Linked DNA regions of Drosophila melanogaster. The gene in region 1 interacts genetically with each later gene. Each region holds a gene or a part of one and is shown on either strand. Other genes may lie near its edges. The genes, in order: ord and Incenp.

Region 1 (6,593 bases):
GTGCACTTCGCCAAGCGGAGGAAGAATGAAATCATAATCCAGGGTCAGGTCTGCGGTTGGTGCTACAACATAGATTACTTAAAAGATGAAAAAACAAAGTTCAAGAAGAAGCGGCCCAATCTTTCGGATGCGAGCGTCACCAAGCAGCGCGCCACCTCACCACGAAGAGGAGCAATTGCAGACAACCCTCGTCAATTGGGTGGTGATCAGCACTGCTCGGAAAAGAGTTTTGCGCCCTCTGGTGACGAAATACCCACACCACGTGATTTGAAGGACAAACCTGGTGACCTTGCCTAAGGTCCGATACTGAAGTGGCCATAAAGCGATTTCAATTTGTAACATGTTTTCATTGATATAATCCAATAAATGATACGCCGGCTGTCTTGAAATCTCATTTAATAACTTTCAGTAGTAACATCCGGCCCCTTGGCAGCCAGGCCGGCGTGCGATCTTCTCGAGGTCGTGCACGAGGTGCGAAATGTGGCATCCAACGTAAACAAAATCTGTGGCCAGATAACAAATATAATAATATGCATTTACTGATGGCCCACATCTACAATAGATCTTAAGTATTCCCACAATTGGAAGGAAAGAACATTCATTTATTATCTGCTTATTTATAAACCTTGAACTTATGATATAACAGAATTTAGAAAGAATAAATGAGGATGAAATATACATATACATTTCTCCATATGATTATGTAAATGGTGTAATAGATTAATAATGCCATAGGATAGGAAAATCTTCGCCTCGCTTGTGTTCTTGTATAAAAAAAAAAATAGAATGTATAACTAAAGATTGTGTTTTCAAATGAATGATGTACCCCATCAGCGTCCAAAATAATTGCCCCAGTAACCGCCAATCACTCAAGTCCGTCCGCCAGTCAGTCAGCATTCCATCAGGATGTATCTCCGGGCTCTTGGCTTTGCAACTGGGTCACCGGGTGATTTTGGCTAAAAATGGTCTTGGTTAGCGCAAATGCATTTCGCCGGCAAATGACGCGTGCTTCTCGTCTGACAGCCATTGTAGTTGCTGTCTGTGGGTCGGGGTAGATGGTGGTGCAGATGGTGGTGCAAGGACCCTCGGCTGCTCCGCCAGTGGCACTCGAACAACTGACAGCCGGCAAAACCCTAATTGAAATGGAGCTGAAGAATGGGTTTGCAGCCGGAGTGAAGTTGGACCGTGAGCTGTGGCGTAATTAGAAAATGAACATGGAAATATTTGCGTGTGAAAGCCGCAGACGGCAGATAAATGCAATTTGTTCGAGGCGAAGCTGAAATTGCACGCAAGTCAGTTGGTTTGGGTATGTGCCAAGTTTTTGCAATAATATGACGCACCTAGTGTATTCCTTTGAAGACTATACGTTCTGCTGGACTTTGCCCACGGCCTCCTTGAGAAACTCGAGGTCGGACTCGTTCTCCTTGACCACATCTTCGAATATTTCCCATTGGGAGGTTCTGGAGGAGTCAGCATTTTCCTTTTGGAAGCACTTGATCAAGTGGCGACCCTCCTGCAACAGAGTGAAGGCACTTGGGTATTCGATGATGACGATGACGCCCAGGAACAAGGCCACATCAATGATGCGCTCCAAATAGCGGTGGCAGATCCATTTCTAAGGCCAAATAATAAATATTAATATTAATATTATTTAGTGAGGCAACTTACTGGTTCCGTGTTTTTCTTGGCGTAGAAGTCGTTCATAAAAAAGGCCGTCACATATTGCATAGTGGAAAACTCCGCCAGCTGTTTAAGGAAATACAATTTACAATCCTTTGACTTGAGCTCTAAATCAACTTTTCATTGTACAAACCGTTTCCAAATGGCTAATAACAAGAACCGACTGATTGACATGGGTGGCCAGGTCCAATTGGAAGGCCACCAATAGAATGTCCTTGATGTTGTGATCAGTATGATCCCACCAAATGTTGGAAGTATCACCGGCTCGACGAATAGACGTTCGCACTTTGGTCAAATCAAAGTCTTCGAGGGTCTAGTGGATATAGATATAGGCTCAATAACTTAAGAACCCACTGCAATTAGATGTGCTCACCTTGGAACGCAGCTGGTCTTTGTCACCAAGGCAAGGTACCAGAAACCACACTGTGTACTCCTGGGCCGTGATGTACTCGAATATGTGGCGCACCTGGTTGAAGACCTCCAGTATGAATTCTCGCTCCGTCAGACGCACTGCCTCGTTGACGTGCAGGCATGTTTTGGCCAACTTGCCCATCATATCGTTTGGTTTGATCGGGTTACTTTCGAACAGCTTTACAAAGGTCTCGAACGGGCTGTCGGGGTCTCTGCAGCAAACATGTTGGTTAGTCCTCAATAAATGGGAATACTTACGGAGTGGCTCGACCTACTTGAACTTTTTGAAGGCGTCTCCATCGCCGTCGCTTTGGATGACCTTTAGCCAGTTCCCGGAGCATTTCTCGTGCAGCTGCCTCAGAAGATTGATCGAGTGCTGGGGCCGCACAAAGAACTTGGCGTGGAACTCCGGGAGGGGGCACGATTGGCGTTTGCCGCCGTTTATATAATATGAAACGGTGTCCAGGGCGAAGTACATATCGAATCTTCGCTCTACGTTCACATAGATGCCTTTGGAATGTACGTTCCTTGTGGACGCCTCCTTGGCCTTGCGCTCCGCTCGCTGCACCATTCGCTCCAGGGCCTGTTTCGAGGTGGACGGTCCCTCATCCAGGTCGCTCTCCGACTCTGGCTCCGTCTCCTCTTCCTTATTCACGGGATACACTTTGAAGCTCATCGAGACACTTCCCTTGCCAATTTTCAGCTGCGGAATCGTTTCAAGGCTATCTGAATCCGGATAGGTCAGGGAGCAGAGGAGTAGGATGGCCTGGGCCACGGGCGTTACAGCCGGTAGGTCCTTTGCCATATCCGTGACCAAACTGTAGATGATAATGTGTACATTGTCCGCTTTCGAGAAGTTTATCTCCACTTCATCGCAGCCCAAGCAGTTGTTAATTTTCAACTAAACAATCATATACATTTAATACGTGCTTTCTGTTCTCAATATGAATACAACTCACTTTGATAAATTTAATGACGTGGTTTTTATTTAGCGTAGTTTCTCCGTACATTTTTCATAAATTTTTTCAGTCATTCGATAACTTAACAACTTTTTCGCTTACTTCAGTGAAGGTAAGTGCTCTAAAATTCCTTGATGACGCTAAGTTATCGACGCTCGATTAAATCGACTCAGAAAGTTAGTGCTATAAAATGTCCCACAGAAGTCAAAACGGGCTTTTGAAATTTTAGCAATTCTTGTAAGTGGATTTAAACTGATAGTTGATTTCGAAAAATTTAGCTTGTTTCAAACCCTAGAAAATAAAACCATGACCATCCAGCTGGTCCCAGTCCACTAATATGTTGCTCCCCATCCATTTGTATGCCCTTTTTCCCCGCCTAACGCATATTTATGAATCAGCAAGGAATCAACATTATTATGAGCCATGGGAAGTGAGCCATTAAATTGGCTTGGCCAGGCCAACAGACTGGATGCATAAAATTAGGATTAACGGCTTTCTAAGTGCCATCAAAAGCCCAACTGTCGTAATTCCCAAATGCACGCACTGAGCAACAATTAGTACGAAACTCCGTCCTGGTCACTTTTCAAAGAGGCTTATTTCGTTGGACAGTACGGAATGATATTAAATTTGAGCAAACGGCAAACAAAGGCGACAGAAATAAACCAAGATTGTGATTTTCTTTTAATTTTTATGACGCTGTCGTCGTAGTTTTCGTCGGATATTTTACGACTCGAACGAAAAGGAGAATACTTCCTTATCGCCCCGCCTTTGATGAGGCCCAAGGAAATCATTTATATTTCTGGGCTTCTTTCTGGCCAATTTTATGCCTTTTGCATTTTTAATGATGATTGCCATTTCAGCATTTTCTTCCCTGGGATTTACGAACCGTGGGGACCACACGTCACGAATTTAATTGCGATTTAATAGTCCAAGTGATCGCCAAAAACTTTTGTGCACTCGACAATTCTGATTCCGATGTTCTGATGTATGTGTGGTCGCTGGGGAAATGTGGAGACTCGGGGATTCCATGGCAGCTCGTAAAGCCAGCGAAATTATTGCAATTCCAGCAGACAGCGCCGATCCATCCGAATGGCCATGCAATTAGATTACCAGCCTTGGGCCACGTGATTCCTCCTCCGACCTGGGCTCTTCCTTTCGAGAGTAGAGGATCCAGTCCAGTAGTCGTTGTGGCTTTATCGCCAGCATAAATTTGCGCAGATAAAAGCGCGAAAAGAGCGCTGCTCATGTCCACACAGCATTCTTGGAGAAGAATCGCGGATCGAGGGGACTGGGGAATTCCCTCCACTTGCAATGTCCAGAAATTATAGCAATTTGCTTGTCAAATTGTTGCCGACTTGGCCAATAAATCGTTGGCTTTATGGGCCGCTCTGCGTCGCCAGGTGATCGCGATAGAGTTGTTTTAGAAATAAATTCGCCAAAAAGGCGATTCTGCTGGCTCCGCTTAGTGGTTCGTAAACTTGTAAAATGTGCAATTTGGCGGCCGGCTTTTACTTAAAGTCGATCGTTTTCCTTATTTTTACCTGCCTGATTTCGTTAATTTAATGCCTCCTTGCCATCCAGTCGGGCCAATTGAATAGTTGCACAAATCGCTGGGGGATTCAGATCGCAGTGAAGCGATTGAAATATGGTTATGGTGATTTACGTGGCGGTGGGTGGTAATTTGCAATGTTTGCGAGTGATGATGATGATGATGATGATGGCGGGTTGTTGAGCAGGCTAATTTGATGGCAGTTTATTGAGGAATTTTCAATATATCATCAGTTCGAAAGCCTAAGTTAACTTTAAACATTACAAAGTCCCCAGAAGAGTATAAATTTTTGTATACATTTTGAAGTTCGTTTCGAGACATTTCTGGCTTACTCCGTGAGATTGGGCATGTAGATTTTAAAATATTTTTAAAGAACCCGCACATAATTGCACTACTTGCATTCAACATCCAGCCAGCTAATGTGGAACCCCTCTCTCGCAGCCTAACCCCTTCATTCTATTGCTACATTCCCAATCCGGATTCTGGCCATGTTTCGCATCTGCAATTACCGACATTTTTATTGGCTCGCCCGTGGGAGCACCGCTTGCACCTGACATTGTTCGTGATTGTACAGGGTATGAAGTAGCTCAGCATTCTTGGCTCTGCAAGTTATTTTATCCTAGCTCTAGCTTGGTTTCAATATATAGCAAATACTTACAACAATAGCCATCGTATCAATATATACTTTAATATACGTATTGATTTTATTTTGATTTAGCAAATGTAGGGTATCTTATAGTCGCTCAATCCCAGCTCACAGTTGTAGCATGTTGTTGCTGCGGAATGCCAGATCCTTGAAGCAATCGCAATTCGAAATGTTTACGGTACATTTAATTTCATTTGGATTATTACAATATGCTTTAGGAGGCAACTGGGCTCTTCCCGCTACCCGCGTGCTCCGCCACAACCATGCTCCATTTGCCAGGCCAAACAATGAGCCGTGAAGATTGGGCTGGATGGATGCTGGATTAGAGGGGGGAATGCTGAATCCAGCGATTTTTGGGCAGGTGTAGCGATGTGCCAGGCGGACATATTTCATTGTTGTTGCCAAAGTGTAATTGCGAATTCCAGACAAATGTGAAATTTGAATTTACAAGTTTAACTTTTCTTGTGAAATCATTTGTTCGGGCTGCTCCTTTTGTGGGTTTACTTCGTTGTGCGACTCAAGTGTGCAGTTGGCAATTCTCGACTTAGTTCATTTGTTCCATTTCAACGCTTGCCAGCCGGAGGAGTCCTCTGGGAGAAGGAGGAGGCGGAGGAGGAGCAAGCTGGGGATGTGGTTGCTCCATCTTTTCGGGCTCCGCATAAACAAATGTACTCATGTCGCAGCTCCATTCACTGGATCCTGTGTTCCTCGTTTCCCACTCCACACGACCCTTTCACTTCGATTGTTCCATTTTCTTTGCCATATTTCCGGATTGCTGTACTTTGTCCTTTTGTCCTGGCAAAGGTATACTGTCGCTTTTGGGTAGCATGCGTAGATAAGCCATGTGATTATCTACAATTGATTCCCTTCTTGGGGAGTACATTACATATCAGATCCATTTGTAGCTATATTATATAAAGATAATACGTATTTCTTAGTTAGCATCATATGGATAAACAAACTATCTAAAAATGAACAAAGATTTATTGTGGTCCTCGTTTAAGACAATCGCTTTGTTAAAGGTATCTTAAAGGCGCCTCTTGCGATCCTGCGTTTCCGTGCCAGTAGCTTATGTTTTGTGCCTCGGCGGAGGACATCCGGATTCGTGAGCAGCTGGCGAGGCTTAGGCTGCGATCCCGGAATGCTTCACCTCAACGTGCCGCAAAACTCCGCTTCGAATGGAGGGTCCTTGAGGGCGAGGATATGCGGAATGCGAAGGCTCCTTGCGCAGGACTCCCTTCCTTTCGTTTGGCATTCTTGTTTGGCTTTTGTGCATTTGCACGGTTTTCTGTTGGCTTCCTTGTTGGCTGCCTGGCAGTGTGTTTTTGTCCAGGCTTTTGTGCTCGAG
Region 2 (5,636 bases), about 16 Mb from region 1:
TACCGCCAGGTTGCACATGTCGCAGAAAAGTATCACGTTGGTGTTTTGGCACTCGCCGTCGAGGCAAATGCAGCAGACTGCGTCGTCGTCCACCTCGACGCCTGTGGGTGTGCCGTTGGCCGCCGCCTGGAAGTGCGACTCCTTCTCCAGCCGGTCCATCAGCAGCTCCATCGTGTCGATGCCCACGGCGTTCAGGCCGAGTCGCTGGCGCTCCTCGTTCATGTGCTCCAGCCAGGCGGAGTCCTCCTCGTCAACGTCGTACTCCACCTCCCCGTCCAGCTCCTCCAGGGACTTTTCGATGAAGCGATAGTAGGCCAGCGGCCGTGGCGGGGCGTCGGACACTCGGTAGTCCGGAATCTCGGCCACCCTGGCCACGGGCACCTGGACCCTTGCCCAGGGCGCGTTCTCCTCCAGCGGTGGTGCGTCGGCATTCAGAATACAGCCCCTGGCCACTAGGGCGGCGAACTCTTCGTCCTCTACGAGCGGCAAGGCGTCGTCGATGCCCAGGCGCACGCTCTTCCCGTCCAAGTTAAACGTCACCGTGGCCTCCTCCTCGTTGTAGGACACCAGTGACTCTGGATTGGCGTACTGCCGGGCGCTGACTCCGCTCGCCGATCCACCTCCTGCGCTGGCCGAGGAGCAGCCGTTTCTGGCCTCAGCTCCACCGCCACCCGGCGTGGGGTGATCCTTGTGCGGACGAGGCGTGGAGTGGTGGCCGCCGGAGCGTGAGCGCGCCTTCTTGCGGCTCGGAGTCAGCACGGGCGTGAGCGGCTGTGGGTTGTCGTGGTCGTACTTCATAAGATGGTATTGCAGACCCATGATGGTCTTGTAGCTGCGGTCGCAGCCGCGGACGGGACAGGCGAAAGGCGGCTGGGACTGCTGGGTCTTCACCCCTTTGCAGTATTCCACTGCGTCGAAGTCGAGGCCCATGATCTGGATCTGCGGCGCGATCTGTGGATCTGCTGCAGCTGGCTTCTCGGGGTTTGGCGGTTCGCTGGTCGCGGATCGCGGGCACTGTGTCTACTCCGCGGCACGGCTGCGCATACGTATGTGCATCCCACGGTGGTCGTCGCAGAGCGCGCGGTTTTGGCTGTCCACCGTTCCTGGTCGATTTTCGTTGGCTTGTTGCAAATTTTTTAACAAATGTGCTAGAGATGGGCTTGCTGGTCAGCTCGCCATGGCGATACTATCGTCGGAAGTGCTTGTGCAGCACTGGACGTTTGCTGAAACTTGTTTGAAATATTTCCGGTCCTTTACGCAAATTAATTCTCTTCCGTAATCTATATTTATAATTTAAATGTTCCTTTTTGTTCTTTCCCTTACCATTTTCCCTCAAATTTGTTTACAATATGTTTTTTGGGGAGCCGTGCAGCACTGCTTTCTAGAGATGGTAGTGGCGGGAACGTATTGGAACTGGTTCACCTAATGTTATACTTTCAAAATTTACAGGGCTAGAAATCCAGTACGTAACTATTTAAATAACCCAATAATATTATTTTAAAGAATTCAAATAAATATCTCCCAATATTCACTCAAAAAACAAGTTTTGGTTGTGTTTTTCATTTTGCGCGGGAACTTTATCGCCCGTGCAGTGTTGGAAAGCAGAGGCATAAATGCGCCTTACAGCACCCGACGAGCTGTTAACTGTCAACAGTGCACAATTAAAGGCATGTTATCAAATGCTGACGCGCGTCGCAATTGCCGCCATTTGAAAAAAACGATAAAATCGAAGGAACCGAATCCGGATTTGCAGTTTGTCAGATACAGTCGCTAGATATGGAGGACATCTTGGGCGTGCTGGGCTCGCTTTCGGACCTGCGCAGGGAGCTCGAGGTCCTGCGCAAGGTAAGCCAGGATCAGGAGACGAAATTCCGACACTGTCAACATGGCGTCATATGTGTTTTTTAGGCCCACTTTGAGGAGCTGGACCACCTCTTCTACGGCACAGGCCAGCCGGAGGCGGAGGCCAAACCGAGGGACAGTGCTCCGGCAGCGAAGAGTCAGGAGAACTCTTCGGTGACGCCGCAGCAAACGAAAAAGCGCCCCAAGCGACTCACCTCACTGGCCGAGGATCAGAATGAGCCCGAGGGTGAGTATCCTGGCCATTTTAAAGCATTAACGACCAACAACCCCTGTGATATTCCATTTGAGCAGCTCCAGACGCCACGGCCAACAACACGTCGGCCCGTCAAAGCACTCGGGTCAGCAACTCCCAGTTGCTGGCTATCGCCGAGGACGAGCACAACTCCACGGCCTCGCTGATGCCGCCTCCGCCTGTGCCCGTCTCGGCGGACACCACCCTCGGCTCCGGAAGGCCACAGCGAGCCGCTAAGCTGAAGACCGAGAAATTACTCAAGGAGCCCTCACTCAACCGTAAGATGCGGCGGCCCAGCAGCGAGGAGCTCGTAAAGGTCAAGGTTGAGAGCGAGCAGCGAGTCTCCCAGTTTAACAGCTTCACCAGTGCACAGGCGTTAGAGGAAAATAAACTAGCGGAGCCGGAACTAGAAGAGCCAGCAGCAGAAACAGCTGAGCAGCAAAAGCCTCCGGAGGAGGCCTCAGTCACAGAGGACGTGAACACCACGAAGACACTCCGCGTGAAGGTAAAGCGCGAGAAACTCAGTACCGAAGCAGTGCCCCCGTTAACCAATGCGGTCTCCACGGCAAATGTGACCACCGTCTCCTCTGTAACAACGGAGGCAGCGCGACCGGACGATACGGTGGCCAGCAACACGACGACATCCACGGAGGTCTCCAAGAAGGTCCGCAAGAAGAAGAAGGACGTGGAAAGCCACCGACCCATAAAGGTGGAACGATTCAGCGACCTGGACAAGAGCTCGCCAGTCTCGTCGCGCACGCGCAAGTGTAGCAGCGATTCGCGAACGGTTCAGGAGCGATCCATATACAAGGATGCACTCGAAGATCCGCCCGTTGCAGAGCAATCAGTGGCTGCAGTTGCTCCGGCTGCTGTCAATGAGACCGTGGCGATTTCCAACGCCACCCTCGTACTGGGTCCTGCGCCGACGAGCGATAGTCCAATAGGACCAGCTGGAGATGCCACTTTTGAGGTGCACTCCAACGACAAGAAACAACCTCTGAGTAAGCAGGACAGCCTCTTAACGGAGGACGAGTCGGTGGAGGAGAAGCTGCCGACGACCAAGCTGCTCTCGAGCATAAAGGCTATAAAACTGCCTACCCGTACACATGAGCTTTTCAAGTGAGTAGATACCCTGCCTCTTCATGCATGTTATCCTTCTAAACAATCTTTGCACTTCTACAGCCCACTGCTTCAGAGTCCAGTGAAAATGCGCGTGGAGGCGTTCGAGAATGCGGCAAACGCACAGAACAGCATGCGCCCTAAGCGGGGAAAAGATCTGGTAGGTACAGTATAGTTGCACATATATAGCAGGCAGATAGCAGGCAGAATTAGGCTAGACTATTCACCAGTTCTGTATCAATTGGCGCTTTCTAGAACTGTTTGATAGGTGATTCATTTATTGTTATTTTTTTTTACTCTTCAGCAGGGCACGCCAGGATCAAACAACACTCCCAAAATTGGCAAGCTGCCTGCTCCGACTGTTGGTCGCTTTTTCACACCGACTCAAACGACAAGCACACTACCATTAAGCTCGGCGCAGCCCAAGAAGGGACCTGCCAGCGCGTCTAAGGCCACTAGTCTGCTGAAGACGGCCACCGGTACGAACCTAAGGTCGGTCAATTCCACGTCCACAAAAACGCTGTCGCGCGAGAACAGCGGAGACGACTTCCGCAAGGGCCTGCACAATCTGGCGGAGGAGCGCAAGAAGCTGCGTGAGCAAAAGCACCAGCAGGCTGCCCAGCAGCGCGAAGCCAAGGAGCGGGAGCGGGCAGAGCGTATGGCCAAGCTGGCCGCCGAGCGCGCCAAGAAGCAGGAGGAGCGAAAGCGAATTGAAGAGCGCAAACGACAAGAGCTGGAGGAGCTGCAGCGGAAGATGCGCCAGCAAGAGGAAGCCGAGGCGCTCAAGAAGGCCAAGTTCAAGGAGCTGGAGCAGCAGAAACTGCAGCAGCTAACCGGCGCCAAGCCCAAGAAGATGCTTCCGCCGCCGCCGAAAACCAAGTACACCTGGGAGATGCTGCACGAAGACGACTCGACAGACGACGAGGGAAAGGTCACCCACAAGCGTCCCCCAGCGCCCACCTGGAGTCGAAGTAAGTTTGTGGATCATTTCGAAGAGTTATTTTCGAGATACCTTATTCATCGTAAATATATACAAGTAAATACACCAGATTACAGTCTGATTTCCATTGGGACTACTAAAGGAAATGTTCTTAAATATAGATTCTGACTTATGTGTTTATTTTCAGGCCACGTAAGGGGAGAGGCAATTGCTATGCAGAGCCACTGCCCAACCGACATCATCGACAGCTTTTTCTCGGTGGCGCCCACCACACCGGACCTAAAGCAGATATTCCCGAACATCGATCCCAGCCAGCTGAAGCGAAACTCCAGCGTGCTGTGGTCCACGCCGCCGCGCTATTCCGAGCTGCCGAAATACTAGCCAAGTAGTCCTGCTCTCTTCTCCCGTAAATGCACATGTTTATGATCGAATAAATAAAGTTAATTGTGAAAATTAAAGCGGAGTACCGCTGCGCGATTCACTGCGACTCTGACACTAATATCCAGCTGCTTTAGAACTATTAAAGCCGCCAGCGTGCTCAATTAATGGTTCGCTGGTGGCTGCTTGCCGATTCCATTAGCCAAGTTGCCCAACAATGGATACGTCGATTCGTGAAAAGTGTGAAAACGCAGAGGAGGCAAGTAAACGAAATAAAAGAAAACAAGCCCGGCAAACACAATTTCACTGGTCATGGGGCATGGTTTTGTGGCATGATGCGCAGACGATCGAAAAGACTGCCTCGATTCGATTCTCCTCCATCATGTTTCCATTGCTGCTAATCCCACTTTTCCAACGAGCCATTCTCATTTTCAATCGAAAGCCGAAATCAGCGGAATCGGCATGGGCAATTGGCACAGTAATTGCTGCTGATTAGAGTCGACTCCATGTGGAAGTCGCCGCGGATCCACCCATGAATATGATTCGATGGGACCATCTTAATCCGCAATCTAATTAAGGCGCGTACGCTCCCCAAATTGCCACTTTCAATTGTTACTGTTTCCGTTTAAGTGCACTCTGTTAGTAGCTCCACTTCCCCACGGACCCAAGTCGATTGGGGCTGAATCTATGTGAATTCCATGTGGCACATTGGATACTCTATCAAAAACTGTAAGGAAAGATAGTAACACATCTAAATGAATAAGCTCTAAAATTCCATCAAATGCCACTTTTGTGATCCATCAGTTTGCAATTCTTTAGAACTTTTGAAAGACCAACTTTTAGATTTTCCCATGTTGGTCTTCCACCTGATATTACAGCCTAACAGAGTTGCCATCAGCATGCCAAGTAAAAGAAACTTTTTGCAAAATACAGCATTTGCAGCTCCAAATCAAAAACCTATTTTGAAGAATCGAACTGAAGACTGGCTGCGTAGTCTTCCACTCGCGGGCACTCTTCCGAAGAGCGGCCAAGCGAGTTGCGGTTTCTCGTTTCTTCGGCTCTGCGCGAAGTCTTCGTGCTTCGCACGAGTCAGTTTGAGTCGAG

Evidence for each region.
Region 2: of ord (region 1) and Incenp, changing one enhances a phenotype caused by changing the other (phenotypic enhancement), as found in Drosophila melanogaster (one study listed by BioGRID).

What each region holds. Positions count from the first base shown.
Region 1 is NT_033778.4:23,270,674-23,277,266, forward strand, and holds ord (orientation disruptor), read right to left. Parts: upstream 4,864-6,593; 5' UTR 3,102-4,863; coding exon 3,051-3,101; intron 2,993-3,050; coding exon 2,367-2,992; intron 2,304-2,366; coding exon 2,054-2,303; intron 1,994-2,053; coding exon 1,814-1,993; intron 1,747-1,813; coding exon 1,669-1,746; intron 1,616-1,668; coding exon 1,361-1,615; 3' UTR 1,341-1,360; intron 1,277-1,340; 3' UTR 584-1,276; downstream 1-583. Other genes in the region: CG13540 (uncharacterized protein), read left to right, coding at 1-297. UniProt on the Drosophila melanogaster protein: Essential for proper maintenance of sister-chromatid cohesion in both male and female meiosis. Mutations in ord cause premature separation of the sister chromatids in meiosis I and random segregation in both meiotic divisions.
Region 2 is NT_033778.4:7,276,953-7,282,588, forward strand, and holds Incenp (inner centromere protein), read left to right. Parts: upstream 1-1,653; 5' UTR 1,654-1,776; coding exon 1,777-1,845; intron 1,846-1,908; coding exon 1,909-2,089; intron 2,090-2,154; coding exon 2,155-3,214; intron 3,215-3,277; coding exon 3,278-3,374; intron 3,375-3,518; coding exon 3,519-4,185; intron 4,186-4,341; coding exon 4,342-4,535; 3' UTR 4,536-4,843; downstream 4,844-5,636. Other genes in the region: Br140 (Bromodomain-containing protein, 140kD), read right to left, coding at 1-930.